Linked DNA regions of Macaca fascicularis. The protein of the gene in region 2 purifies or fractionates together with the protein of the main gene of each other region. This does not show direct contact. Links are inferred from orthologs where the notes say so. Each region holds a gene or a part of one and is shown on either strand. Other genes may lie near its edges.

Evidence for each region.
Region 1: the proteins of GOSR1 (region 2) and STX5 purify together in Homo sapiens (affinity purification with western blotting; 3 studies listed by BioGRID, with this or other methods). This does not show direct contact. The link is inferred for Macaca fascicularis from reciprocal best matches to the Homo sapiens genes GOSR1 and STX5.
Region 3: the proteins of GOSR1 (region 2) and NAPA purify together in Homo sapiens (affinity purification with mass spectrometry; 3 studies listed by BioGRID and IntAct, with this or other methods). This does not show direct contact. The link is inferred for Macaca fascicularis from reciprocal best matches to the Homo sapiens genes GOSR1 and NAPA.
Region 4: the proteins of GOSR1 (region 2) and BET1L purify together in Homo sapiens (affinity purification with western blotting; 3 studies listed by BioGRID and IntAct, with this or other methods). This does not show direct contact. The link is inferred for Macaca fascicularis from reciprocal best matches to the Homo sapiens genes GOSR1 and BET1L.
Region 5: the proteins of GOSR1 (region 2) and STX12 purify together in Homo sapiens (affinity purification with mass spectrometry; 3 studies listed by BioGRID and IntAct, counting the BioPlex papers as one, with this or other methods). This does not show direct contact. The link is inferred for Macaca fascicularis from reciprocal best matches to the Homo sapiens genes GOSR1 and STX12.

The regions. Positions count from the first base shown.
Region 1 is NC_088388.1:11,223,362-11,228,896, forward strand, and holds part of STX5 (syntaxin-5), read left to right. Parts: intron 1-1,408; coding exon 1,409-1,525; intron 1,526-1,608; coding exon 1,609-1,665; intron 1,666-1,829; coding exon 1,830-1,911; intron 1,912-2,384; coding exon 2,385-2,491; intron 2,492-2,662; coding exon 2,663-2,784; intron 2,785-5,535. UniProt on the Homo sapiens protein: Mediates endoplasmic reticulum to Golgi transport.
Region 2 is NC_088390.1:36,006,909-36,012,443, forward strand, and holds part of GOSR1 (Golgi SNAP receptor complex member 1), read left to right. Parts: intron 1-1,045; coding exon 1,046-1,133; intron 1,134-1,472; coding exon 1,473-1,580; intron 1,581-5,535. UniProt on the Homo sapiens protein: Involved in transport from the ER to the Golgi apparatus as well as in intra-Golgi transport. It belongs to a super-family of proteins called t-SNAREs or soluble NSF (N-ethylmaleimide-sensitive factor) attachment protein receptor.
Region 3 is NC_088393.1:55,532,326-55,538,323, reverse strand, and holds the start of NAPA (alpha-soluble NSF attachment protein), read left to right. Parts: upstream 1-1,863; 5' UTR 1,864-1,993; coding exon 1,994-2,091; intron 2,092-5,998. UniProt on the Homo sapiens protein: Required for vesicular transport between the endoplasmic reticulum and the Golgi apparatus. Together with GNA12 promotes CDH5 localization to plasma membrane.
Region 4 is NC_088388.1:84,791-90,810, reverse strand, and holds the start of BET1L (BET1-like protein), read left to right. Parts: upstream 1-2,179; 5' UTR 2,180-2,256; coding exon 2,257-2,275; intron 2,276-3,521; coding exon 3,522-3,613; intron 3,614-3,896; coding exon 3,897-3,953; intron 3,954-4,095; coding exon 4,096-4,263; 3' UTR 4,264-6,020. Other genes in the region: RIC8A (chaperone Ric-8A), read right to left, coding at 1-192, 281-328, 665-748. UniProt on the Homo sapiens protein: Vesicle SNARE required for targeting and fusion of retrograde transport vesicles with the Golgi complex. Required for the integrity of the Golgi complex.
Region 5 is NC_088375.1:207,289,734-207,295,851, reverse strand, and holds the start of STX12 (syntaxin-12), read left to right. Parts: upstream 1-2,560; 5' UTR 2,561-2,673; coding exon 2,674-2,791; intron 2,792-6,118. UniProt on the Homo sapiens protein: SNARE promoting fusion of transport vesicles with target membranes. Together with SNARE STX6, promotes movement of vesicles from endosomes to the cell membrane, and may therefore function in the endocytic recycling pathway.

The DNA.
Region 1 (5,535 bases), on a different chromosome or scaffold from region 2:
GTTGAGACTATAGGGACATGCCCTCATACCTGGATAATTTTTTTTTTTTTTTTGAGACAGAGTTTTGCTCTTTTGCCCAGGTGGGAGTGCAGTGGTGTGATCTTGGCTCACTGTAACCTCCACCTCCCAGGTTCAGGCTATTCTCCTGCCTCAGCCTCCCCCATACCTGGGACTACAGCCACCTGCCACCAATGCCTGGCTAATTGTTTTCTCTTTAGTAGAGAAGGGGTTTCACCATGTTGGCCAGACTGGTCTCAAACTCCTGACCTCAAGTGAGCCGCCCACTTCGGCCTCCCAGAGTGCTGGGATTACAGGTGTGAGCCACTGCACTCAACTGTAATAACTTATTTATTTATTTATTTATTTATTTATTATTTTTTGAGACAGAGTTTCACTCTTGTTGCCCAGGCTGGAGCACAGTGGTGTGATCTCAGTTCACCACAACCTCTGTCTTCTGGGTTCAAGTGATTCCACTGCCTCAGCCTCCTGAATAGCTGGGCACATGCCACCGTGCCCAGCTAATTTTGTATTTTTAGTAGAGGTGGGGTTTCTCCATGTTGGTCAGGCTGGTCTCAAACTCCTGACTTCAGGTGGTCCGCCCACTTCAGCCTCCCAAAGTGGTGGGATTACAGGCGTGAGCCCCAGCGCCAGGCCAATAATAACTTTTCTTTTCTTTTTTTTTTTTAAAGATGGTGTCTTACTCTGTTGCCAGGCTGGAGTGCAGTGGTGCGATCTAGGCCTACTGCTACCTCCACCTCCCAGGTTCAAGTGATTCTTTTGCCTCAGCCTCCCAAGTAGCTGGGACTGTGGGACTATAGGCATGCGCCACCACACCCAGCTAATTTTTTGTATTTTTAGTAGAGATGGGGTTTCACCATGTTGGCCAGGATAGTCTCAATCTCTTGACCTCATGATCTGTCTGCCTTGGCCTCTCAAAGTGCTGGGTTTACAGATGTGAGCCACTGAGGAATTGTGTGTATAAATATAATTCTGTTGATGCCTCTTGAAGCTACAGTGCCTTTGACTCTTCCCTTTTCCTGAGTGCTGTCCAGGGGCTTTGTTGGTCATGCTCTAGACCCAAGATTTTGGCCTTTGAAAGGGTTCTGTGGCCAAGAGCATGGCCTCACAGAATGGAGCAGGGCAGTAGGCTGGAGGAGTAAACAAGTTATTTACAAATGGATCAAGGCCTACTTTGCCTCTTTCTAGCTCTTCTCTGCAGGAACTGAGCCAGAGCAAACAATAGACCTTGGAAAATCCTAGCAGGCCCATCTGGTCTAACTGTCTGGGATACTCTCACTCTAGCTAGTAACTTCCACCTTGCCCTTCCTACCAGAGATGGCCATCGAGAGAGATGCTGACTGAGGACTCCTTGGCTAATACTTTGTTTTTCCCTGGACTCTTTTACCAGGACATCAATAGCCTCAACAAACAAATTGCTCAGCTCCAGGATTTCGTGAGGGCCAAGGGCAGCCAGAGTGGCCGGCACCTGCAGACCCACTCCAACACCATTGTGGTCTCCTTGCAGGTGGGAGCTGGGGAGGAAGGGAAGGAGGCAAAGGGGAAGAATGTGGAGTCTTGTTTGGTTGACCGTCTCTCCTTTTCTTCTAGTCGAAACTGGCTTCTATGTCCAATGACTTCAAATCGGTTTTAGAAGTGAGGACTGAGGTGAGAACAATTTGCCTAGGAGGGATAGGAATATGGGGGTAAAGATCCAAGAGGAAATGGGGAAGGTACAGGTTCTACAGGGTCATGGGGCCAATGGTGGGAGTCTCATTAACATGCCTGCTTTCTAGTGGCTTCAGGTCCTTTGCGTTTTTCCCCAACCCCAGAACCTGAAGCAGCAGAGGAGCCGGAGAGAGCAGTTCTCCCGGGCACCTGTGTCAGCCCTGCCCCTTGCCCCTAACCACCTGGGTAAGTCAGAGGTAAAACGGGAAGCCCTGGGAGGTAAGGTTACTTACTCTGGTTGTGATGGCATCCTCTGAAGGCACGGGTTGGGTAGGAGAGTGGAGGGTCAAGGAAGTTTCTAGGCTCTATCTCTCAGAGGCCGAACCAGATGGTTGAGATTCGTGATCCACATTTAGACTCCCACATTCTCACTGTTGGGGTGAATTCAGTTGTATTCAGAAGAATGATAATTTCTAATTTTTTTCATACACTTACCTTTATTCACATTCTCTCATTTAATTTTCACAACCACCCTTTGAGAAAGCAACTATTATTATCCCCCATTTTACAGGTGAGGAAACTGAGGCTCAGAGAGGTTAAATGACCTGTCCAGGGTCACAAGGCTAGTAAGTGCCAGAGCTGGGATTCAAACCCAGAGCATGTGGGCTTTGAACCTGCTTTTAACTGTGAAGATGTGCCACGTCCTGTTTTCTCCCCAGGGGGTGGTGCTGTGGTTTTGGGGGCAGAGTCCCATGCCTCCAAGGATGTTGCCATCGACATGATGGACTCTCGGACCAGCCAGCAGCTGCAGCTCATTGACGAGCAGGTACCCAGGCTCTGAACTAGGGAGAATCAGCTTCTCCATTATCCTCTGTGGTTCCCAAGAGAGTGTCTGGAGTGTGCCATGGGCAGAATGGCAAGCTGGGAGGGCTGTAAAGATGCAGGTCTGACCCTGAAGAAGCTGATGGTGCTCATGTGCTCTCTCCCTCTCCTGAAGGATTCCTACATCCAGAGTCGGGCAGACACCATGCAGAACATTGAGTCGACAATTGTTGAGCTGGGCTCCATCTTTCAGCAGTTGGCACACATGGTTAAGGAACAGGAGGAAACCATTCAGAGGTGAGACATACTCTCTCACCCCAAACATAGGAGCTTTCTCTTCCCCGTAGATTGGCATCTTAAAGTCCCCAGGGACTGCTTGATGCCCTTTGGAAGACAGAGTGAATTCTGCCCACCCATGGGACCCAGTTCACCTGCTTCCGTCCACCCAACAAGTATTTATTGAGCACCTGTTCATGTGAGGCGCTGTTCCAGGTGCGGGAGATACAGCAGCAAATAGGACAGTAAAGTCTCTCTGGAGCTACTTTGTAGCATGTGTAAGTGTCTAGAATTTCATAGGGCAGATGAGGACAGCTGTGGAAAAGAACTGACAAGGCTGGCATAGTGGCTCACACCTGTAATCTCATAGGCAGCATTTGGGAGGCCGAGCAAGGCAGATCGCTTGAGTTCAGGAATTCAAGACCAGCTTGGGCAACAAAGTGAGACCCTGTCTCTACAAAAAAATACAAAAACTAGCTGGGCATGGTGGCACGGGCCTGTAGTCCCAGCTACTCAAGAGACTGAGGTGGGAGGATGGCTTGAGCCTGGGAGGCAGAAGTTGCAGTGAGCCAAGATCATGCCACTGCACTCCAGCCTAGGCGACAGAGCCAGATTCTGTGTCAAAAAATAAAAATAAAAATTGACCAACAAAATTTCAGGTAGTAATGAAAACTGTATACAGAGTTAAAGTAGGATGATGTGTTAAGAAAGTAATGGATGGGTACCGTGGCTTACACCTGTAATTCCAGCACTTTGAGAGGCCCACACAGTCACCTGAGCTAAGGAGTTCGAGACCAGCCTAGGCAACATGGTGAAACCCCATCTCTACAAAAATAAAAAAATTAGCTAGACGTGGTTGCATAGGCCTGTGGTTCCAGCTACTCGGGAGGCTGAGGTGGGAGGATGACTTAAGCATGGGAGGTTGAGGCTGCAGTGAGCCATGATGGAACCACTGCGCTCCAGCCTGAGTGACAGAGCGAGACTCCATCTCAAGAAAAAATAAGGAAGTGACTAAGGTATATCAGATTGTGTGGCAGGGAATGCTGCTCTGAAGACACCACATTTAAGTAGAGACTTGAATGACAAGAGGGATCCAGCCAGGCAAAGAAGAGAGAGTGAGTGTTCTCGGCTGAGTGGACAGCTAGAGCAAAGCCTTGTAATGGGACGGTCTAACTATACGCAAGAATCAAGAAGGCCTGCATGGCTAGAAAGTAATGAACAGGGATAGAGAAGTATAGGGTGTACTGGAGGGATGTAGGCAGAGGCCCAACAATGGGCTGGCCTCTCTGTTCCTCTGGTGTCTCCTGCTACTATAAGAGGTTTTATCTGCTCCTCCTCTGTGGTGCTTAGCATTCAGTCAGTCAGTTATGGGAAATACAGCAGTGGACAGAAGAGACAAAATCCTTGCCCTTGTGGAATGTGTATCCTAGTAGGGAGATAGATGTGAAAAAGTCATAATAAATAGTATGTTTAAAAACAAGTCATAAATGCAAAAAAAAAAAAAAAAAAAGAGTCAACACAGGATAAACTAATCAGGAGTGCCAGGTTTGGAGGGAGGTAAGCCTTATTAAGAAGGTGCATCACACTTGGGAGAAGGTGAGGAAGTTAGGTACATAGACTCTGGCAAAGACCTCCAGGTGACAATATATCTGATGAGTTAACAGACAGCAGAGACTACTGCAGCTGGGATCAGTGAGGAAGCGAGTTGTACAAGGTGTGGTCAGAGGGGAACTGGTGAGACCTCTTGGGACCATTGGTAGGCCTTAGCTTTTTTTTTTTTTTTTTTTTTTTTTTTTTTGAGACGGAGTCTCGCTATGTCGCCCAGGCTGGAGTGCAGTGGCCGGATCTCAGCTCACTGCAAGCTCCGCCTCCCGGGTTTTTACGCCATTCTCCTGCCTCAGCCTCCCGAGTAGCCGGGACTACAGGCGCCCACCACCTCGCCCGGCTAGTTTTTTGTATTTTTTAGTAGAGACGGGGTTTCACCGTGTTAGCCAGGATGGTCTCGAACTCCTGACCTTGTGATCCGCCCGTCTCGGCCTCCCAAAGTGCTGGGATTACAGGCTTGAGCCACCGCGCCCGGCCAGGCCTTAGCTTTTATTCCAAGTGACATAGGGAGCCATTGCAGGGTTTTGTTTTTGTTTCTGTTTTTGTTTCAGACAGAGCCTTGCTCTGTCGCCCAGGCCGGAATGCAGTGGCACGATCTTGGCTCACTGCAACCTCTGCCTCCTAGGTTCAAGTGATTCTCATGCCTCAGTCTCCCTAGTACCCTGGACCACAGGTGTGCACCGCCATGCCCAACTACATTTTGTATTTTTAGTAGAGACGGAGTTTTGCCATGTTGGCCAGGCTGGTCTTGAACTCCTGGCCTCAAATGACCTGTCCTTCTTGGCCCCCCAAAGTGCTGGGATTACAGGTGTGAGCCATCACAACTGGCCAAATACATTTAACTTTATTTATTTTATTTATTTATATATTTTTTATTTTTATTTTTGAGATAGAGTCTCACTCTGTTGCCAGGCTGGAGTGCAGTGTTACAGTCTCGACTCACTGCAGCCTCTGCCTCCTGGGTTCAAGCGATTCTCCTGCCTCAGTCTCCTGAGTAGCTAGGACTGCAGGTGTGTGAGACTATGCCCAGCTAATTTTTGTATTTTTAGTAGAGACAGAGTTTCACCATGTTGGCCAGGATGGTCTTAATCTCTTGACCTCATGATCCACCCACCTCAGCCTCCCAAAGTGCTGGGATTACAGGCATGAGCCACCATGCCCAGCGTT
Region 2 (5,535 bases):
TTCAAGGTCTATGAATCATTCATTACCCACCTATAAGATGAATTAAATTTAACTGAATCCTAGTATTGTGAAGAATTAGTTTTTGGCCATTTCCCTTTAGTCTTACACTGTCCTGATGAATATATGAATATAAGGAGTATGGAATAACCAGTAGTAGAGATTGCTCTCTCATTCATTCATTCAACAAACATTTAGTGAGCATCTACTATGTGCCTGGCTCTATACTAGGTGCTAGGCATATATCAATGAATAAGACAGAGCAGTTTTTTCCTCCCTTCATGAAGCTTTAATTCTATTGGCATATTGTTCTTTTTCATATATCTGGTAGAGGAGGATTTATATTAGTAGTCTACAGAGCATTTTTTAATCTTTTTCATTTGCCACACCCAGGCACTGTCACAGGGTAGGACAAAGTCTTCAGTAAGATTGGAGCGCATAGTCATTGCCTGGGCATTTATCTGTGTCCAGTATAACTCCGATCTGTATTGAGCTGCTCATTGGATGCTAATACATACCTAACCTGATGAAAGTTAGTGGTGTTTTAGAAAAGGCAAAAGAAACACTCAGGACAGGTGGGTTTAGAATTTGAATCTGTCAAACATAAGTTTCACTTATAAAAAGATAGATTTTTGACCATTCAGATTTGAAAAGGCAATTTAACACAATTCTACGAAACAAAAAGATGACTGCATACTGTAAGTGGAAATGTAGAAGATTAGTACCAAAGTATGCAGGTGGCTGTATATATTGAATGTAAAGCCAGTTCCTGAGTATTCGTTAGCTAGTTATCCAATCTGTGGATCATTTAAACCTCAATCTTATTTCCTCTTGGTAAGAGTCAAGGAAAGAAGAGAGAACTTAAAGTTGAGGTTGAAGGAACCATAATTCCTTTGAGGTAAAAATGTAAAAGATTGTTTCTCACAGACCCTATATAACATAATCCATAATTCATTTTATGGTTCATATTAATTACCTTATTATTTTAAGTATGTTTTAAAGGACTGCATTTGAGTAATGGATCCTCTTTAACTGAACTTCTTTTTAGTTCTGATACAACACCTCTTTTAAATGGATCAAGCCAAGACAGAATGTTTGAGACAATGGCGATCGAGATTGAACAACTTTTGGCAAGGGTAAGTGCTTTGTTAAATGGCTGTTTTGCAAATAACTGTATACTTGTTAGATAGGATCCTGGATTGTATTGAGACAGACATGTTTAATGAAATTATCCATTCCATTCAAGATGTGTACCTCCCCACACCACTTGAATTTTGATGACAGCCATTCTCAGGTGATACGATGTTATTTTGGTCTTTATGGATTATGTGGGGGAATGCTTAATTCTTACTTGATATCTTGTTTGTTTTTTGTTTTGTTTTGTTTTGCTGTCAACCAAAAGGGCATATAGGCAAATAATTTGCTTTTAGCTGTTTATAGTGCTTAGTAAAATATTTTTTTTTCTTTATTTCTAGCTTACAGGGGTAAACGATAAAATGGCAGAATATACCAACAGTGCAGGTGTCCCCTCCTTGAATGCGGCCCTGATGCATACATTACAGCGGCATAGAGACATATTGCAGGTAATATATTGGGCTCGAGACATTTTCATTATCACAGGAGTTCGGGTTTTTTTTTTTTTTTTTAATCTCTGCATTGGATATATGCACATGTATTTAAAATGACAAAGAGAAACATCTGAGAAAATAAATGCCATGCTAGAGGGACTTGTTTTACTTTTTTTTTTTTTTGGTCACCATTATAAAATTCTGAAAATATCTAATAGCTCTTGCTATTTCCTGGCGAAGTTGACTAATATTCATCACTGGGTAATATACTTCCATTCTGGGAGACCTAGCTAGCTAGCTGTAACCGTGAACTAGTCAATGGTCATGTATAGACAGTAACATTGTGGGTTAGAGTGTGCTTTCATCTGGCTTTGAAGATGACTTATTTACTATACTCAGTGTATTGTTTGAGAAAACAATAAATGTTTATGCACCAATAAAACTAAACTCTTAAAGATTTAAATGGAGGATATGTTAAAAATATAGTAGTACAAATAGGAAGGCAATTTTTTTTTTTTTTTGAGATAGGGTCTCTCTGTCACCCAGGCTGGAGTGCAGTAGTGCAATCACAGCTCACTGCGGCCTCAACCTCCCAAGCTCAAACAATCCTCCTACCTCAGCCTCCTGAGCATCTGGGACCACAAGCACATGCCACCACACCTGGCCAATTTTTTAAAAGTTTTTTAGCAGAGACACGTCCTTGCCGTGTTGCTCAGGCTGGTCTGTAACTCCTCTGTTCACAGGTTTTTACTATGTTGCCCAGGCTGTTCTCTTAACTCCTGTGTGTGGGCAGTCTACCCACCTCGGCCTTCCAAAGTGCTAGAATTACAGGCATGAGCTGCTGTACCCAGCCACAAATATTTTTAATACTGTGAAAAGTCAGCAACTATTTCTAATTTTAAAAACTGTTTTTAAAAGTAGGAATAGATGGCCAGACGCGGTGGCTCATGCCTGTAATCCCAGCACTTTGGGAGGCATGAGGTGAGTGGATCACCTGAGGTCAGGAGTTGGAGACCAGCCTGGCCAACATGGCGAAACCCCGTCTCTACTAAAGTACAAAAATAAGCCAGGCAATAAAAACATTCCCATTGAATAAAACAACACAAGGATACCCATGATCACTACAAATGCATAACATTGTTTTTGAAGTTCTTGATGGTGCAATTAGACAGTAAAAAGAAATGAAATGTAGGCTGGGCATGGTGGCTCACGCCTCTTGTCCCAGCACTTTGGAAGTCTGAGGTGGGTGGATCATTTGAGATCCGGAGTTGGAGACTAGCCTGGCCAACAGGGTGAAACCCCTTCTCTACTAAAAATACAAAAATTAGCGGGGCATGGTGGTGGGTGCCTGTTATCCCAGCTACTTGGGAGGCTGAGGCAGGAGAATAGCTTGAACCCTTGAACCCAGGAGGTGGAGGTTGCAGTGAGCCGAGATTGAGCCACTGCACTCCAGCCTGGGCAACAGAGTGAGACTGTCTCAAAAAAAAAAAAAAAAAAAAAGTTGTAAATATTGGAAAGGAAGAGGCAAAATTTCTGTGAGGTAGCAGGATAAAATTTTATGTCTAGTATACCCAGGAAAATTACCTGATAAAAAGTTAGAAACAATTAAATTCAGTAAGATGGTAGATTATAAAATGAATACATAAAAGCAAATAGTTTTCCTACTATGATAGGAAATAAATGATAACCTGTTAGAAAATATAATGGAAGAAACTATAAAGTATTTATGTATGAATTAAATAAGAAATGTGTAGGACTTGTATGTGCAAAATTCTACTGAGGGACATAGAACAAGATTTAAGTAAAGGAAAGAATCAGTCCGTTTTTGGATGGGAAGACTTTCGTCTGAATTGCATGGCATCCCAGTGGAAACAGCAGGGTTGTTTTGTTGTTTGTTTAATTAAAAACAAATGACAGAATGATACCAAAGTTCATTTGGAATCATAGACATACAAGAACAACCAAGAAGAACAACTTGAAAATGAAGATAAGTGGTAGAGGGTTTGTAGTTCTCCCAGATCTTAAAACCTGTTAAAAAGCTGAAATAGTTGAAACAGTTTGATACTAGAGGGAAAAATAATTAAATAAATAAGAACAATTAAACAGAGTAGAGTTTATATGTAGACCCAATTATGTATGGAAATTTTTAGTTTCTGATAAAGATGTTGTTTAAAATCAGTGCGGCAAAGAGAAATTATAAAATAAATGGAACTATAACCATTGCCTAATTATTCAGGGATTTAAAAAAAAAAATTCTATCTCAATCCTCACATCCAGAACAAATTCCAAATGGATCCAAGAAGTGTAGAAAAAGAAACCATAAAGCAGAGGTGAAATTTATAAACTTTTGAGCAGAAAGGACTTTCTAAATAAGACTTGATACTGGAAACTGTAACAAATGACTAATTTGCTTACTACACAGAGAAATAATAGAAATAAGAAAAAGACACTAGGAAAATGGACAAAGGGTGTAAAATTGCTTACAAAAAATGAGTGGCCAAAACTATAAAAACAGTTTCAGCAGTATTTCCAAATAAAAATACAGAAATCTAAAAGAGGTGATTTTTCACCTGTCAGGTTAGCAAATGTTGAAACATTTATAACCCATTATTGGCAAGAATAAAAATTAAAAAACGGCACTCCTATATTGCTGGTGGGAACATAAATTGATGTAATGTTTCTAGAAGGCAGTTTAGCACTACCAGAATGTAAATGAATGTAACATTCTTTGATCCAGTTATTGTTTTTTTTTTTGAGATGGAGTCTCGTTCTGTTGTCCAGGCTGGAGTGTTGGAGTACAGTGGTGCAATCTCGGCTCACTGCAGCCCCCGCCTCCCGAGTTCAAGCGATTCTTCTGCCTTGGCCTCCCGAGTAGCTGGAACTACAGGCATGCACCATCACGCCCGACTAATTTTTGTATTTTTAGTAGCAATGGAGTTACATCATATTGGTCAAGCTGATCTCAAACTCCTGACCTCGTGATCCACCCAGCTCAGCCTCCCAAAGTGCTGGGATTACAGGCGTGAGCCACCGTGCCCAGCCCTGATCTAATTATTCTATTGCTAGGCATTTACTCCTTTTTTTTTTTTTTTTAAGCTCTTTTGAACTTAATAGACATTTACTCTTTAAATACACTTTTTTTTTCTTTTTTTTTCAGACAGAGTCTCACTATGTTACCCAGGCTGGAGTGCAGTGCGTGGTCTCGGCTTACTGCAACCTCCACCTCCCGGGTTCACACCATTCTCCTGCCTTAGCCTCCTGAGTAGCTGGGACTACAGTTGCCTGCCAGCATGCCCGGCTAATTTTTTGTATTTTTAGTAGAGATGGGATTTCACTGTGTTAGCCAGGATGGTCTCCATCTCCTGACCTCGTGATCTGCCTGCCTCGGCCTCCCAAAGTGCTGGGATTTCAGGTGTGAGCCACCATGCCTGGCCTAAATATACTTAAAAAAAAAAAAAAAAAAGAGCTCAGTTAAAAAAATACATATAAGAATGTTTATTGGCAGTATCTTTTTTGTTTTGTTTTTAGACAGAGTCTCGCTCTGTTGCCTAGGCTAGAGTGCAGTGGTATGATCTCAACTCACTGCAACTTCTGCCTCCCAAGTTCAAGTGATTCTCCTGCCTCAGCCTTCTGAGCAAAATAGCTGGGACTACAGGTGCGTGCCACCACACTGGCTAAGTTTTGTGTTTTTAGTAGAGATGGGGATTCGCCATGTTGGCCAGGCTGGTCTCGAACTTCTGACCTGTAGTGATCCACCCACCTTGGCCTCCCAAAGTGCTGGGATTACAGGCATGAGCCACCATGCCTGGATCTTGCAGTATTTTTAATAGGAAACAAAATGAAAACAACTAAATTGTTTATCAGTAGGGAATTTATTAAATTGTGATAATCATAAGATAATATTCTATGCAGCTATTAAAAAGAATGATGTAGTTTTCTTTTTCCTAATATGGAAAGATTGCTTGATACT
Region 3 (5,998 bases), on a different chromosome or scaffold from region 2:
TGATCCTCCTGCCTTGGCCTCCCAAAGTACTGGGACTACAGGTGACACACTGCGCCCACCAACAGTTTTGAGGAGTACTAGGCAAGTGTTTTGGAGGATGTGGTTCAATGGGAATTTGTCTAGTGTTTTTTTCATGATTAGATTGAAAGATCCCAGAAGTAAAGAGCCATTTTAATCACATGACTTATCAATGTTGAGGTTAACCCAACAACCTGGATGTCAAAGTCTGGTTTCTCCACTGTAAATTTAGTCTTTTTCTCCCCTTTCCTGCACCCTCCTCTTTGAAAGGATGTCACTATGCACAGTCCATACTTACAGAATGGGGAGGTATCCTTCACCTTCTTGAGAGCAGAGTATCTACACAGATTATTTGGAATTCTTCTGCACAAACTATTTGTCTATTCTCCCCCCTTTATTTTTCTCTATTCATCTTTATGACCACAGGCTCATGGATACTTTATATTTGGGATTATAACGCAATACTACTTTATTTTGCTGCTCAAATTGTTCCAGCTTTGGCCATTGGGAGCTCTTTCAGTTGGCACCCTGGCATACCCCCTAATTTTGTGTGTGAGCACACGTGTGGAATACTTCCTTCCTCTCTGGCACTACAAAGTGATACTGCGGTGAGCTATGATTGTGCTGCCGCACTCCAGCCTGGGCGACAGAGTGAGACCCTGTCTCCAAAACCAACAACCCAAAGAGTGAGACCTGTCTCAAAAACCAACTACTCAATTTTCTGGGGCAGCAGGAGGTGTGTTTGAATCTGAACTTTTTTTTTTTTTTAGAGACAGAGTCTTGCTATGCTGCCCAAGGCGGGACTTGAACCGGACTCAAACTCCTGGGCCCAAGCGATCCTCCCGCCTCCGCCTCCCGAGTAGCTGGGATTACAGGCACCAGACACCGCGCCCATCTTCGAATCGGAATTTTTTAACACGCTGTCTTCAGCTTTTTTTTTTTCCTAAGTCTCACTCTGTCACCCAGGCTGAAGTGCAGTGGCACGATCTCGGCCCACTGCAACCTCCACCTCCTCGGTTCAAGCGATTCTCCTCCCTCAGACTCCCGAGTAGCTGGGATTACGGGCGTGAGCCACCACACCCGGCTAATATTTGTATTTTAGTAGAGCGGGGTTTCGCCATGTTGGCCGGGCTGGTCTCAAACTCATGACCTCAGGTGAGCCGCCCGCCTCGGCCTCCTAAAGTGCTGGGATTACAGGCGTGAGCCACCACGCCCGGCCCTCTTCATCTATTTTTTATGAAACCAGAGTTAGAGAACCTCTTAAGTTTTTGTTTCCAGTCTCTCAACTACTTCACCGGTCTCCCCAAAGCAGTTCCAGTACTGGCCGGTAGAGGGAGCAAGAAAAAGCAGAACGGTTTCCTTTTCCCACAAACGCTTTTCCAAGTGAAGAAACGGGCGAGACCAGCCGTGGGGCGGGACTAAGCTCTGCGCAGAACTGTCAAACCCGGGCTTGGGCCCCGAGTTGTCACGTGAGTGTCCGCGGTCAGCTGACTCTGCCGGAGTACTTCAGGGAGGGCGCGGGGTGGCCCCCCTAACAACGCGAGCCGAGGGCTGCTGCTGATTGGTGGAGGAGGATCCAGCGGCAACACCGTGGGGCGGGGCCTCGGCGGTGAGTATTGCCATTGCCTTCCGCAGGGTCACGTGGGAGGTGAGGTACAGAGCGCTGAGGAGAAAGTGGGGCGTCGTTGTCCTGTGTGTGCGCATGCGTTGAGGTCTCGGGACGCCGATTGGGGGGTCCCGAGTCACGGGCGGCTTGCGGCGGCTGGTGGGGGCGTGGCCGGCGGAGCGGGCGCCGCGCTACGAGGCCTCTGGTTGGCCAGCGCGAGTCACGTGATTCCGGGCCGCAGGCGCCGCGCGCCGGTGCGACGTCAACGCAGCCGGGCGACTTCTCCCGATCTGTGTTCCGCGGCCCGGCCGCGGCTGAGTCTTCCCAGGGCCAGTGTCGGGCGCTTTGCTGAGTCCTTTTGTGGCCGCCATGGACAATTCCGGGAAAGAAGCGGAGGCGATGGCGCTGTTGGCCGAGGCGGAGCGCAAAGTGAAGAACTCGCAGTCCTTCTTCTCTGGCCTCTTTGGGTGAGAACCGGGCTGAGGGGTCGGCCGGGACCTAGGCTGAGAGGACGAAGGAGTCACGGTCGGAGGTGGCGGGTTAGGGCACGCAGAGCTCGGGCCGAGGGGACGGAGAGGAACCTGGAATGAGGTGACTTGGCCTGAAGCGGCAGAGGCTACACAGGCTGAGGGCCAAGAGCCTGGGCCGGGGCAACACGGTTTGAGGAGAGACGGTCTGACATGGCGGAAGGGATTTGGGCTGAGGACACATGGACAGAGGCGACCCTGTCTTGAGGCGAGGAAGGGGACCCAGGCCGAAGACAGGCCAGCGGGAGGGGGAGAACCTGAACCGAGGGAATACGTCCTGAAGCCTTGGAGGGGACCGGCTTGGGGGCAGGGAGGGAGTCCGCGAGATAAGCCAGGTCCGGAGGCTTTTCAGAGCTCTAGGGGAATGTGAAGGCTCTCGGGCGGCAGTGATGGGGCCTGGGGCTGAGGACGCCTGCCCGAGGGACTGACCTTTTCATCCCCCGGGGCAGTGGATTTGCGTGGGCCCTGGGCAGTGAGGGTGAAGGCTGAAGGGGGCTGACACCTTTGGAGGGGCTCAGGGCTTAGATGATCCTAGGAGCAGTGAGCTGCGTCTGAAGTGTGGGGGGTGCCTGGGGTGAGTACGGCCCTGGTTAGCAGTGACTAGTTTAAGGACAGCTGAGCAGAGGAACCGGGATGATGGAGTCAAGACTGTGGCGGTCTCAGCCCTTTGGGAGGCCGAGGTGAGTAGATCATCTGAGGCCGGGAGTTCGAGACCAGCCTGACCAACATGGTGAAACCCCGTCTCTACTAAAAATACAAAAATTAGCTGGGCCTGGTGGCGGGTGCCTGTAATCCCAGCTACTCGGGAGGCTGGGGCAGGAGAATCACTTGAACCCAGGAGGCGGAGGTTGCAGTGAGCCGAGATCACGCCTCTGCACTGCACTACAGCCTGGCAACTGAGTGGGACTCCGTTTCAAAAAAAAAAAAAAAAAAGGAAAGAAAAAAACCTGAGGAGGCCTGGGTTGAGGCCGGAGACTCCTGGGTGGGGGAACGCGTGGTGGTGGCTTGGCCAAGGAGATGGAGGGATAACAGGGAGAGACGGGGACTGAGAGAATCAAAACTGGGGATCAAATTCCTGCTGTGTGATCCTCGAGTAATGGGGATGACAGGAACATGCTGAGAAGAGGGATGGGAAAAGGCTTGGGAGACAGAACTAACGCATGTGACATGGCATAAAACTCACGGTAGCTCCTAAAAGCTGACACCACCATCCTGTGATAATTTTAGTGGCTTAAAAGTATTAAGAGCCCAGGTTTGAAATGTGGCTCTGCCACTTACTTCATGACTTTGGGTAAATGGTTTAGTCTCCCTGTTAAAGGAGATCACAAATCTAACCTGCCTCCCATTTGCTGTGAGTGTTAGAATTGAGCCTGGCGTGGAGTTACATCTCTGAGAGTGTTAGCTATTGTTAATGGACTTCCCAGAAGGAAGCAGGTTTGGAGTGTGCAGAGAGCTGATGGGGTTCAAGGTGGGCGCCCGAGAGGAGAGGTCTGGGAGGGGTCAGGAGAGGGAGAGACAGAAACATGGGTGTGCTAAGAGGAGCTGAAAGGGAGCAGTAAAGGGAGCCACGAAGACTTAGTAGGGTTGAGAGGAGCATGAGGCTCTGGGCAGAGGAAGTAAAGGGAGTTTGGCAGGGGGTGGTGGTGTGTGGGGGGGGTGGGATCTGTGCTGATGGGGGGACCCGAAAAGGTCAAGGGGAGGCTGTGGAAACTGAGGGGAGGACTGGGAAAGGACTAGTGGACTTGTAGAGAGAACGGTCTGTGGTGGCCCCTCAGAAGCAGAGCCTGGGGAAGTTGGTGGGACTGGGAGTGTCTGCAGAAGGCTGGAGAAGGGGGTTTGGGAGGAGGGCCTGGGGATGGGAAGAGACTGGGGTAGGAGCCTGGCAGAGGCCGGTAAGACACAAAGGGGAGGGATCTTTCCAAGAGAGGAAGGAACAGGAAAAGGGCTCTGGGCCACGCCCCTTGTTTGAGGTTGGATAATGTTTAGCAAAAGAACTTGAAGAACATGATGGTGAATTGCCTGGTGTGGAGAAACATCTGGGGCTGATGGACTGTATTGATTAGGTGAAAAATATTTTATTTTAGAGGCTGCGAGGAGACAGAGGGTGTGTGTGTGTTTTCTTTTTCTTCACAAGGGGAGAAGTTCAGGTGCTGTGTTTGGGGGTGGGGCCACGAGCTGGATTTTTGGTGATAGTTTTCCTAGGTGGCTCTGGGTGTCTGGTCCCTTTGGCCCAGGGATTAGTGGGCTGTTGGACTGTGTGCTTGGAGGGAGCAGCTAAGTCAGCCCCAAGGCACTTGCTACCTGGTTGGGAAGGCAGGATGCACAGCAAATGCTAGTAAAGTGGAATTACCTACTGTAAGGAAGGGCTCGATTATATCATTCCTGTGACTGTCTGAGCTCAGAGGAAGCAGTGTGAACCAGGGGGAAGCTCATGGTGAGGAGTGAGCTAGGTCCCAAGGAACCACAGGACTTGCTGGGGAGTGGGGCCAGGGAGGGTGCTCTAGGCAGCAGGGATGGTGCAACAGAGATCTAGCATGAGGGGAAGTTCTGCCTGGAAAGACAGGGAACTGAGATCCACACGGATCAGAAATGGCTTCCTGGGGGAGAGGCCCCAACCCCAGGGGGATGAACAGGAGTTCTGGGTGCTCTCTGGCAGGGAGCAGCACTCCAGGCAGGGGTTATGATGGAGTATGCCTTAGGAAGATGGAACACAGGGAGTTACACGTTAGACCATAAAGGTGGAAGCGGCAGGTGAGGCCAGACTAGGAAGGCCTGGTGAGCAAGGGCTGGGCCTGGAGGAGGCACTGAAGAGCTCCGAGGAGGCTAAGGGAGGCCCATCCTGGAGAGCTGCTGTTTGCCTTCTAGAAAGGACTGCAGCAGCTGGTGTGGGGGAGAGTGACGGCAGGAGGCTGTTGCATTGCCGGTAATACTAGCAGATGCAGGTTATTAAGTGCTCGCTCTGACTCGGACCCAGGCCTGGGCCAGGCTCAACCTGCTGATAGATGGTATGGATTTAGTCCTCACAAAATCCCCGTGGAGGTAGAGAAACTTGGGGGCTTAGAGAAGTTGACTTACTTGCCCAGCCACATGGTAAGTGGGAGAGGTGGCATTCAAACCCGGTTCTGTGTGATTCCAGAGCCTTCTCACTTAGCCCCTTTGCTGTCTTACCTCGGTAGTTTCTCCTCAAGGTTCATGACCATCTCTGGGCACTACATTTGGGAAGGCTGTTGGCAAACTAGGTGTGTTGGAAAACCGCCACCCTCTTAACTGTGGTCCCACGGCCGTTTTCTCCAAGTATTTGAAAAAAAGAGCCGGTGTGTTCATCTCAGTTCCTTCCAGCTCCCAGAGGAGCTGACCTGGTGCTGTGGGGGTGTGAGTGAGGTGAGGGCAGAGGGCAGAGGGCAGGGAGGATGGGAGGGTGGCCTGACCGGAGCTTGCATGCCTGGGAGCTGGGAGCACAGTCAGAGGCCAGCTTGGGAGGACCTGTTTGACGGGTGGGAATCACTCAGGCACCTCCTCCTCTCTGATCTGGGTTTGCTTGTGTTCAGCATTTCATAACCCACCTTTATTCAGGTCCTTGGTAGCTGCCGGGACTGGAGAAGGGAGTGTTGGGCCTCAGCTTGTCCTTGGTGCCTCTCCCTTCCCCTTTGGGAATCCCAGCAATGACAGCGTCCCACATTGAGGGTCCTCTGCTCCTATCAAAGGGCAAGTCAGAGAGCCTTCACCTGGGACGCAAGGCGGTGGGCGTCTGTGCTGTCGCCCGCTTCGGTGCTCAGACGCCGCCCTTGCTCTTCATTATTTCTGGGCTGCCAGACGCTAGGGGGCTTTGATGCACCAGCAGCCACTG
Region 4 (6,020 bases), on a different chromosome or scaffold from region 2:
GGAGTCTGGGACGGACCCCTCAGAGCCAGAGATGTCAGCATAGCAGGCCAGTGCCTGCAGGCTCTGGCGGCTGGTAAACGGGTCCAAGCAGTTGCGGTCCCGGGACAGGATTCGGACACTCTGCAGCCAGGTGACCCGGTGGGAGGGTGGCAAGCCCTGTTCCAGGACGGAGACCAGCAGCTCCGCCAGTCTCTGTGGGCAGGGAGACGAGCGGCTCCACCAGGCCCCTCTTCCTGGGGCCACCCGTCCCTGTCCCTTTACCCCTCGGGCCAGCACCCACCTTCCGGTCCTCCTGTTGAGCATCATCAAACGTGAAGCTCTGGGAGTGCTGCAGAGAGAACGAGTGAATTCAAGTCCACAGAGGGGCAGTATCCGCGCCCGCTGACGGGGGGCGGCCTATTGGCCTCTAACTCAGGCAGCAGCCACTGCTCAGAAGGGGTGGCAGGGTCTACACTCGCCCCCATCCCTACACACCTGCCACCCAACGGGTGCACCCCAGACACTCTCCCCCCAACACTGCATCCCTGACGTGCCACCCCCACGCCGCCGCGTCCCCTCTGCTTGCTGACACAACCCCTGCCTCACCCACACCGTCCCGACCACCCGCGCACGACCCTGCCCCACCCCCTCCGTGCCCGCCCCCCGGCCTCAGGCGGCCGCTCACCTCCTGGTTGTACGACCGCAGAGCTTCCATAATCACATCCTCCTTCCCCGTCTCCACGGCTTCTGCAACCGCCCGGGGCTCCATGGCGCCCCCGGAACCCGGCGCGGGGAAGGCGGGACGGGCCCTTCCTCAACCTTTCCGGGCCGCAGTTCGCCGGCCCCGCCCTGGCCCAGAAAGCCCCGCGCCAGCGCGCGGGGGAGGCCGGGACGGGACGCGGCGTCTGGTGGCGCTTCAAGGGGGCGCGGCCTGAGGCAGCACTGGCGGCTCGGAAGACCCGAGTCGGGCCAAGTCGCCCTGAACCGGACTGATCCCCCTCCTTGTGACCGGGGCTTCTTGGGCCGGAATTTCCAACAGGAAAGGATCTCAGCCCCCACCGCGCCCTGCCACACACACAGTGACGCCCCTCGAGCTCCACAGAACCGATGGGATGTAGACGGGAAAGCCGAAGTGGAAAGGACTTTTCAGTCCCGGGCCATTGGGTTCGTTAGGCGTTTGCTGGGGAATGCAAGCGAACGGGACTCCCAGGCCCCTGCCTTTGTGGAGCTTATGTTCCAGAGGGGAAGGCAGACAAGGAAAAACAAAAGGACATGAGGCGGTCACAGGGCTGTGCTTCAAAAGAAGCAAAAGGTGACTGCTGGGCTGCAAGGGCTGTGAGGCAGTGGTGTTTTTGCTAACACTGGACGATGGGAAGCGAGCCGGGAAAAGACTGGAGGAGCCACTCCAGGCAGAAGGAGCAGCACTTGCAAAGGTGGAAGGGCCGTGAGGGGCCGAGAGAAAGGGGAGCAACGCAGTCTGGCCTGGACTCAGTTCCCTCTTGACAAGCAAAGATCCTGCGTGTCCGTTTCAGTGGCCATCAGGAGGATTCAGTGACGCACAGGAAGCGCGGTCCACTGGCTCTTGTAACAAGTGCCCGGGAGCAAAGGCGTCTACGGCCCCCACTCCCCGTGCCGCCTCCCAGTCTCTTTCCCTGCTTCACTTTCCTGTAGCGCTTTCCGCACACCTGTATTCGACGCGGCGCGCACTCGCAGGCACTAGCGAGGCGCCGATCTCCACTTGACAGAGGAGGCACCCTTGCCCCCTCCACACCCAGGGCTCCTCGCGGGCTTCTGCCCGAGGGGCCTACTCCTCCCTCATGACCCGCCTGTGAATCCTTCCTAACCGTTAGGACCTAACGCATGGCAGCGTCTTTCCACCACCATCGTCTTGGCACTGAGCAAGCAAACGGCCCCGCCCCGCCCCACGTTCACAGGAACAACAAACAAACGTCACATCCGCGGTGCTGCTGTAATCCCAGCACCTTGGGAGCCCGGCAGGCGGGGGCTGCAGTGAGCTGAGATCGCGCCACTGCCTGGGCGACAGTGCTGAAAATAAGTCACAGCGACGCCCATCGCTTCCGCGACCCCGCGGTTCCCCACCCTCGGGCCTAAGCCGGAAATCAGCGAGCCCGACGCCATCTAGGGGCGTGGTTGGCGCGGAGGCGGGGCCATCGCTGGCGGGGGGCGGGGCCGGAAGCCCGTTCCCCGTGACTGCGCCACGTCTGAGGCGGCTGTGGCCGCGTCGGTGTTGGCGTCGAGGAGCCGGGGCAGGGCACGATGGCGGACTGGGCTCGGGGTGAGCGCGGGAGAGCGGAGCCGTTGGGGGCAGGGCCGGGCCGGAACCGACGCCGCTGCCTGTAGAGCCGCGTGCGCCTGCCTCTGGCCTCGGCGGGGAGGACCCTGTCAGGGGGGCGGATTCGGATCCTTCCGGGTCCCAGCAGGGCCGGGTTTCGGCCAGCACTGCCGCTAGGAAGGACGGCGGGCGGGGCGGCCCAGCAGCTCCAGCGAGGGCTCGCGCAGCTGCGGGGTCCCCCCACTCCCCGCCGCTCCCTGTGAGATCGTTTTGCATGGGTTCAGGGTGAGCGGGAGTCTCGGCATTCGACAGGTCCCGAGGCCAGGCCTTCGGAGTAGGCTGTGCTCCGCTGGTGTCCAGGCAGGCCTCTGCTAACTAACTTGGGCCTCGGTGGCCCCATTTCCCCTCCTGGAGCCCGTGTTCTTCTCTGCAAAGTGGGATATTGATGCCTGTCTGAGTTATGATGAGTAAAGGAATTAATGAACAGGAAGTGGTTGGAAGGACGCTGGCATCCCTTCCTTAACGTTGAAGCTAGGGAGAAGGTGGTTCTCACCCACCTGAGGTGACAGAAATTCCTTATCACCTGGCCCAGCCTGTCACAGGCCGGGCCTCTGCAAGCGCTGTGCCCTGGGTGTTGCAGGAAGCCCTGTGTGGGATGCAGACCAGGGATCACGCTCCTGGTCGACCTCAGCTCCCATCTCGCGGAATTGGGAACTTTGCTCAGCTGTTTTCTGTGCGGTAAAGGGCCTTCCCAATGTTCTGTCCTGGTTCCTTGCCACCTCTTCAGGACCCAGCTCAAAGGTCGTCCCTGCAGGAGCCTTTCTGCTGCCCTGCTGGGTACTTTTCCCAAGTCTTTCCTATGCTCTTAGCAGAGTTTACTCTTTTTCTATAAGAATGGGCTCCACATACACAGATGGCGACCTCCCTGGATGCAAGTGTCACATCTTATTAACATCCCAGAGCTGGGCCCAGTTTTTGCTACACAGTCTCAGAAGGTGCTGGTTGGACTGAACCCACTGTGGGTGCTGGCCCATCCCCACCTGGATGTGTACACAGGACACGTGTTCACATGACAGGCCCTTGCACACATCGTCCTTTATGCAGTCTCTCTCACATGTGCAAGATTCACCTGCTGGAACCTAGGTTAGGGCCCCTAGATTTCTGACTCACCCAGTTGTGGTTGGAGTGAGAGGGGTCAGAGGCCTCGCTCCCCGATGGATGCAATCACTCAGCCCCTCTCTTTTCTCAGCTCAGAGCCCGGGCGCTGTGGAAGAGATTCTAGACCGGGAGAACAAGCGAATGGCCGACAGCCTGGCCTCCAAAGTCACCAGGCTCAAATCGGTCAGTGGTGGTCTGTCCTCTTACCTCCACCTGGTGCCCTTGGGGAATGGGGATCAGAGGGAAGGTAGAGGGCCCAGAGGAGTTTCAGGCAGTTTGCCGTCCTCCTCGTTCGATTCGTGGCTGTGCTCACCTGCATGAGGCCCCAGCTGACACCTGGACCTTCCTGCTGCTGCCCCACTGTGTCTGGCAGAGTTGTTGGCAGGGTTTGTCTGGTCTGGGAAGGGTGAGTGCTGTATTATGTGTCTGCTCTGGCCCAACCCTGCCCTCTCTGTGTGCTGAACAGCTCGCCCTGGACATCGATAGGGATGCAGAGGATCAGAACCGGTACCTGGATGGCATGGTAAGGGCCCACGGTGTGCGCGAATCAGTGCCCTGCCCCCAGCACTACCTGCTACAGAGCTTGCAGTGTCTCCTTCAGCACTGGTGCGGGTGGGTGGTCAAATCACCACTTCTGTGTGATCTTGCCGGGATTCTTCCCTTAGGACTCGGATTTCACAAGCATGACCGGCCTGCTTACAGGGAGTGTGAAGCGCTTTTCCGCAATGGCAAGGTCCGGACGAGACAACCGGAAGCTTCTATGTGGCATGGCTGTGGGTCTGATTGTGGCCTTCTTCATCCTCTCCTACTTCTTGTCGAGGGCAAGGACGTGAGACAGTGGGAGCTGGTGTCTGTGGGTGCCAAGGGCAGCCATTGTCTTCCCTGCCTGGCATCTTGGGCTCCAGAGGACTTACCTGCAAAGTACTCCTTTGAAATTATAATCGTGGGCCAGGAATCCTTTCTGTGTGGCAGGAGGCTGCGGCTGCCTGTGACCTGATGAGCTCATGTTGGCTGGTCCCATGTGTGGAAGGGACTCTTTCGGGGAAACCAAGGCCCAGCCCCTCCCCCCTTCCCCAGATGCTAGAGACACAAGCAGAGCTGGGGCCGCAGCGTGTCTGGAGGAGCCAGGTCTGAGCAGAGCAACTGTTGAATCCCAGGCGTGGCCACCTGTGGCCTGCAGCCTTTCTCCCAGCTCTTGGGACGCTGACATCTGAAGGCTCCACGGTCGTGTCCTTGTCTGGATGAGGCCATGTCTGTGATCCAAGGTTCCTGGAACTGACACAGGAAGGGGCTGTGAACCCTAAGTGGGTGCTATCTCCTCCAACTGAGGCTTCTCAGCCTGGAGATGGCAGTTACTCCTGGCCATGGTTGCTGAGCACAGGAGACCAGTGCGGGCCACCCTGCTGTGAGTTCTCTGTGCCTACTCTCCAGTCCTGCGGATGAAGTGAGACCCCTGGGGAGAACGGGTTGTGGATGAAGGAGTGGACTGCAGCCTTGGCCTAGCCACTGGGTGGGATCCTTCTGGGTCCTGTGACTGTGTATCCAGGAGCAGAAACTTGTATTCTCAGGATTCAGAATCTACCCAGCACCAGAGATGTGTTTTCAGAAGAACAGACCTAGAAATGGGCCTCTCTGGCATTTCAGAGTCAGGCAAAGCAGGCAGGGCCGGGGAGCCATTGTGGGTCTACACAAGAAGGTTCCTGAGAGGCTATCAGTTGTTGCCATCTAGCTTGCTGGTAACTCTGGCGCCTCTGCCAAGCCCTGCCAGACTCCTCTGGCTGTGATGGCGTTCTGTGCCATCCTCCTTGTCCCCAGCCTCTGCAGGATACCCTCCCTACCCACCTCTCCCTGGGCCTTCCCTGTCCACTGGGCTGGGCTCATGTTCAAACAACTAGACTGGCAGGGCAACGGCTTTTCCCCACCCCAAGATGAGGTCCTTGCCCCCTTGGCCTAAAAACACCTTTAAAGCTCTGTGCCCTTCTCTGTGCTGTTCCAATCTTCTGCCTCCCAGTCATTCCCTGGGGACTATGGGATCACTGTCCCGCAACCTGTGTGGCCACACTGTGTGTCCTGTCAATCCAGAACTGCCTCTGAGCTCCAGGCTGACCACAGATGAGCCACAGCCTGGTACCTGCAGCCCCACTTTGCTCACCCTTCCCCTCCCCTCCTTCTTCCTTCCACACAGCAAGCCCACCTTTCTCCATGCACGCTCACCATAGCCCCCTTCCTTGTTACCTGAGCCCTCCTTTGTACCTGGCTGAGGCTGTCAGCCTCCTGGAGGAGTGGGGTCCACCGTCTTCCCCTATGCAGTGCGAGCTCACTTCTCACCCAGCAAGGTGGACTCACTTGCCTCCATGTCTCTGGGGCTTTGCTGTTGCCCTGAAACCTAGCTGGGCTGGTGCTTCCCCCTTCTCGGATGTCCCTTTGCAGGCGCCTGTCGTTCCTCAGGCACCAGTGTGCTTGTCTGCCACGGCGAGCTCGTCAGGGGCTTGTACCCTGGTCTCCAAGCATGGTAGCAGCTGCCTGCGTTGGGTCTCCATCTGGTCACTGCAGGTGCCAACCCTTTATCTCCCATATTTTCCTGGGCCAT
Region 5 (6,118 bases), on a different chromosome or scaffold from region 2:
TGATCGCTACAACCTCCACCTCCCAGGCTTAAGCTACACTCCTGCCTCAGGCTCCGGAGTAGCTGGGACTATAGGCTCAGGCCACTGTGCCCAGCTAATTTTTGCATTTTTGGTAGAGACATGCTTTCGCCATTTTGCTCAGGCTGGTCTTGAACTCCCGAGCTCAAGCAACAATCAGCCTGCCTCAGCCTCCCAAAGTGCTGGGATTCCAGTAGTGAGCCACCGCACCCAGCCTTAAAACGATTTTTATTGTACATGGAGAAAGAAAACAATATTTTTAATTCCTATAAGAAAAATACCTGGCCGGGCGCGGTGGCTCAAGCCTATAATCCCAGCACTCTGGGAGGCCGAGACAGGCGGATCACGAGGTCAGGAGATCGAGACCATCCTGGTTAATACGGTGAAACCCCGTCTCTACTAAAAAGTACAAAAAACTAGCCGGGCGAGGTGGCGGGCGCCTGTAGTCCCAGCTACTTGGGAGGCTGAGGCAGGAGAATGGCGTGAACCCGGGAGGCGGAGCTTGCAGTGAGCTGAGATCTGGCCACTGCACTCCAGCCTGGGCGACAGAGCAAGACTCCGTCTCAAAAAAAAAAAAAAAAAAAAAAAAAAAGAAAAATACCTTTACTGAACTTCACTTTAGTGTGAAATGTAAATTTAAAAATTATCAGGACTATCATATAGGTTAAAAAGTGCAATTTACATGACTTGCTATAAGATTTGACATAAAACTACAGATTCTAAGAAACAGTAAGGTTGTATAATAATAACCAAAACAGGCTGGTGCGGTGGCTCACACCTGTAATCCCAACACTTTGGGAGGCCAAGGCGGGTGGATCACCTGAGGTCAGGAATTCAAGACCAGCCTGACCAACATGGTGAAACCCCATCTCTACTGAAAATACAAAAATTAGCCGGGCTGTGGTGGTGCATGCCTGTAATCCCAGCTACTCGGGAGGCTGAGGCAGGAGAATTGCTTGAACTCAGGAGGCAGAAATTGCAGTGAGCCAAGACTGCGCCATTCGACTCCAGCCTGGGCAACACAGCAAGACTCCATTTCAAAAATAAAATAAAATAACCAAAACAAGAGCCCCCAGATGTCATCCATCTCTTTCTAGAGAGAGGGAAAAAAATGCTCTCAAATTCTCCAACGAAAAATAGAGATAGCCACCCTTAAAAAATCCTAAGGCTGGTGGTGATCACTTGAGCCCAGGAGTTCGAGACCAGCCTGGACAACATGGCCAAACCCCATCACTACAAAAAATATAAAAATTAGCTGGGCGTGGTGGCGCACGCCTGTAGTCCCAACTACTTGGAGGCTGAGGTAGGAGGATCTCTTGAGCCCAGGAGAAGGAGGTTGCAGTGAGCGGAGATCATGCCACTGCACTCCAACCTGTGTGACAGAGCGAAACCCTGTCTCAAAAAAAATAAAATAAAATAAAGAAAAAACCCTAAGGCCATATACAGGCTCATTCACTTGGGGTCTCCTTTCACCCAGGCAAGCAGCTTTCCGTCTTTGCATTTTCCAAAGACTGCAAAGCAGGCTGGGGTGGGGTGGAGAACACAGGAAACAGCCAGTTCCCCTTCACTTCTCACCATCTTGATCTCCTCCCAAACCAAAATCCTATGTCTTTCCTTTTAACATACGCTTACAGAAATGCAGTCTTCTGTAGGAAAATTGAGGTCATGCATTCCAAAGTATTTAAGGGTATGATTTTTAAATTTTAGGAATCTAGTTCTCCAAGAAATCCCGGCTTGGGATATAGATGAACGAGCTATTTGGGAGAGATTTCGATGAGAATGAATTTTAGAGAAGTAGCGAGGTGAGGAGAGAGTCAGCTTAGCGTTTGGCTTTTGCAGTCAAACTTCAGCAAGGCGAAGTAACCTCGCTGGTCTTAATTTTCTCATCGGTAATAGGGAAAATAATAATGCTAACATTGATGAGTTACTTTACTTCAATATTTAAAAAACCGGCTCTCCGTTATCTATTCTAATGATAAAAATGTAGATAGAGCATCGTCCCTTGCTGTGAAAAATCTTATGAACAAGTGAATTGCGGTGAGGATTCACACATAATATGTGCTTAATAAACATTATTATTTTATTGTTTAGATTAGAAGAGGGGTGGAGGGAGAAATGAAAGCGGTTTGGAAACCCCAAATACTACCAAAACCCTGGGGATGGAAGTAGAGAGGAATTTCGGGTTACGATTTGGTTCCTGGTCTGAGTTTCAACGTTGAATACTCCCATATTTGGGCCTGAATTCTCAAAACAGAATAGGATGTAAGGGCTGAGATCATCTGGTACAGTTTTATGCAAATCGAAAATTCTTGCCTCTTGTCAATGTGCCCTGGCGAGAAACAACACCTCCACCCAAGCTCATCCAATCTCAGCCCCAACTAGGTGACGTCATCTCTCCGCCCCGCAACCCCCAAGCCCCGGGCAGTCCTGTCTCTAAGATACAGTCCCAGCCCCAGTCCCAGCGGCGCCTGCGCACTTTGAACAGGGGCGGGGAGGACGCGTGCGCGCTGCGTGGGGGCGGGACTAGTGCGCACGCAGCCTTAGCTTCTTCCCCGCCCTTGGTCTTCCCAGTTTCTCCGTCAGCCTGCGGGTCCCGGCTGGCGGCTGCTTCCGGTAGGAGAGTGGTGTAGGGCGAGCAGGTCTCAGCTCCTCGTCATGTCATACGGTCCCTTAGATATGTACCGGAACCTGGGGCCCTCAGGGCCCCAGCTCCGGGACTTCAGCAGCATCATCCAGACGTGCAGCGGCAACATCCAGCGGATCAGCCAAGCCAGTGAGCCGGGGTACCGAGCTGGGGGGCGGGAGCTGTCCCCGGGACAGGCCTGGGTGAGACTGCCGGGTCGCGGAGCCCGGCTGGGACTACGGCCGAGGCCACACCTGGGGCTGTCTCGGGCTGTCCACCCTGGGGGCGGTGGGCTTGCCTCCCCCAGTCTGTCAGGCCCGGGCTGCCCGAGGGTCCCCGGCCCCAGCTGAAGCTTGAGCTGCTTCTCTGGAGTTCTGCCCCCACGGTGCTGGGACCAAAACAGCCCGAGGGTGGGAAGGGGAGTGTGTGTCATCTCGAGAGCTGTGAGTGCGTTGACTTGGCGCAGTGGTCAGCCGAGTTTCTCCTGTCATCCACCTTCCTCCCCACCCACCTCGCTTTCCTCTTAGGCCAGTTTGGATGGGGTTGTTTACTGATTTAGGCTTTAGGTTTACATTCTGCTCAGCCCCTGGCTCCTCGGAAATCAGCAACTTTCAATTAAGGGAAGTGGAGAGTGCATGTGTTTGGATGACTTCATACACAGTTCTTCCTGTAATGAATTCGGAAATCAGACACAATGACTGGTATTTGAGAGGTGGGATGACTTCTGTTTTAATAAAGATAATTCACCAGCAACATTTCAACTTACATTATTTTGTCTTTTGTAACAAAGCATTGGGGTGTATTTTTGGATTTCAGGCAGATGAGGCTTTTGTTTTCCTTCCCTACTTAGCTGCTCTTGAACAAATCTGGTACACAGGGAAGCTAAGAGACTTAGCCACAACCACAGAGCAAGTAATGCATGGTAGAGTTGTTGGTGGAATTCAGAATGGTATTGCTTGTCTTAAAACTCCCTCCTCCCCATTAGGGTCTGAGTGAAACTATAGCTGAATGAGTCAAATACAGGGTGTTTCTTGGGCTTGAAAATCATCTTGGAGCCTTATAAACAGGAGATCAGCAACAGCTTTACTTGGAAAGAATGGTGGTCATCATCCTTATTGTTTATTATTGTGTTTTGTGAGCTTGGTGTACTCTGTTAATAGGTAGAACTAGTTAGTCCTGAATTACAATTCTGTATTTTAAATAATATCACTTTGCTTTAGTTTTTAAACTTTAAAAAATTTTTCTTTTTTGTAGAGATGAAGTCTTGCTGTGTTGGCCAGGCTGGTCTCAAACCCCTGGGCACAAGCACTTCTCCCACCTCAGCCTCCCAAAGTGCTGGGATTACAGGCGTGAGCCACTGTGCCCAGCCTAATTTTTTTAATTTTAAAAAATTAAATATTTTAAATTTGTTTTTAAGAGACGGAGTCTAGCTCTGTCACCCAGGCAGAGTGCAGTGATCTGAGTGAAGTAGAACGATCCTAGCTGGCTATAACTTTGAATTCCTGATCAGCTTGCTGAGTCGCGAGGACTACAAGGATGCATCTACCATGCCAGGCTAATTTTTAAATTTTTTGTAGGGATGGGGTCTCACTATGTTGCCCAGGCTCACTTTGCTTTTAAATCTAAATGTATATTGTAGAATTTGAGAAGTTTCTGATCAAAAGCAGTTGAGACTCTGGAAGTGAAAGGAAGGGTATGTGACCTCTTAAAATCCAGAACTAAAAAAAAATAATATGACCACTGGTTAGAAAGTGTAGTACTTTTTGTACCAGTTTCCTTTTGTGAAGGAGCTGTAATACAGGTTAGATCAGAAAATTCTAGTTCAAGGCTGAAATTTTCTTGTTGAAGCTAAATCTGATTTTAATATCTATTTGCAAAATATTCATTCAACTTGTATTCAATATTATATATATCATATATAATATTATATTTAATATATAATATACACATGAAGATGGATAGATGGATACATGTTGAATGAATATTATATACATGCTGATATATATATATATATATATATAAAACCAGAATACTCCCAAATGTAGATCCGACATACATTTTTAAATTTACATTTAAATTTTTGTTTTGAGACAGGGTCTCACTCTGTCACCCAGGCTGGAGTGCAGTGGCATGATCTCAGCTCACTGCAGCCTCAACTTCCCTGGCTCAAGCAGTCCTCCTGCCTCAGCCCTACAAGTAGCTGGGACTACAGGTGTGCACCACCATGCCCGGCTAATTTTTTTTTTTTTTCTTTTGAGATGGAGTCTTGCTGTGTCGCCCAGGCTGGAGTGCAGTGGCTCAATCTCCGCTCACTGCAAGCCCCGCCTCCTGGGTTCACACCATTCTCCTGCCTCAGCCTCCTGAGTAGCTGGGACTACAGGCGCCCACCACCACGCCCGGCTAATTTTTTGTTTTTTTTTTTTTTTTTTTTTTGAGACGGAGTCTCGCTCTGTCGCCCAGGCTGGAGTGCAGTGGCCGGTTCTCAGCTCACTGCATGCTCCGCCTCCCGGGTTTATGCCATTCTCTTGCCTCAGCCTCCCAAGTAGCTGGGACTACATTCTCCTGCCTCAGCCTCCCAAGTAGCTGGGAGACGGGGTTTCACCGTGTTAGCCAAGATGGTCTCGATCTCCTGACCTCGCGATCCGCCCATCTCAGCCTCCCAAAGTGCTGGGATTACAGGCTTGAGCCACCGCGCCCGGCCAATTTTTTGTATTTTTAGTGGAGACGGGGTTTCACCGTATTAGCCAGGATGGTCTCGATCTCCTGACCTCGTGATTCACCTGCCTTGGCCTCCCAAAGTGCTGGGAATACAGGCATGAGCCACTGCGCCTGGCCCATGCCTGGCTAATTTTTATATTTTTTGTAGAGATGGAGTTTCACCATGTTGTCCAGGCTGGTCCTGAACTCCTGTTCTCAAGTGATCCACCCACCTTGGCCTCCCAATAGGCCAGGATTACACATGTGAGCCACCACGCCTAGCCTTCAACATACATTTATTTGAGTATGTAGTAAGTGTAAGAACTGGCATGGATCTTTCAACAGAGAACCTGCAGAGTACATAAGCAAAATATAAAGTTAAAAGGGATTGGTGCTATAAAAGACATATAAATAACATGAAGGTATTCTGGGGAGAGAGAGATTGTTTTTAATTGAGAAGGCATTATGGCATTTGAGTTATGTCTGGAAAGAGGATGGAAAGATTTGGACCTTTGAAGGTAAAGAGAAGAGCATTCCAGGAGGGAATAAAATGAACAGGCATCATAGTGGGGAAGCATAGGGTATATCTAGAAGAGTAATTTAATTTGGCTAGAGTGGTGGATTCCAGAAAGTAGTGGGAAAAAAAGGACTGAAAGGTAAATTGGGGCCCAAACATGAAGGACGTTAAATGCTAAGCTAAGGGGCTTGGATTTAATTCTTTAGGAAAGTGTGAGTTGAATTCAAAGGGAGAGAGACTGGAATCAGAGATACCAGTTAGGG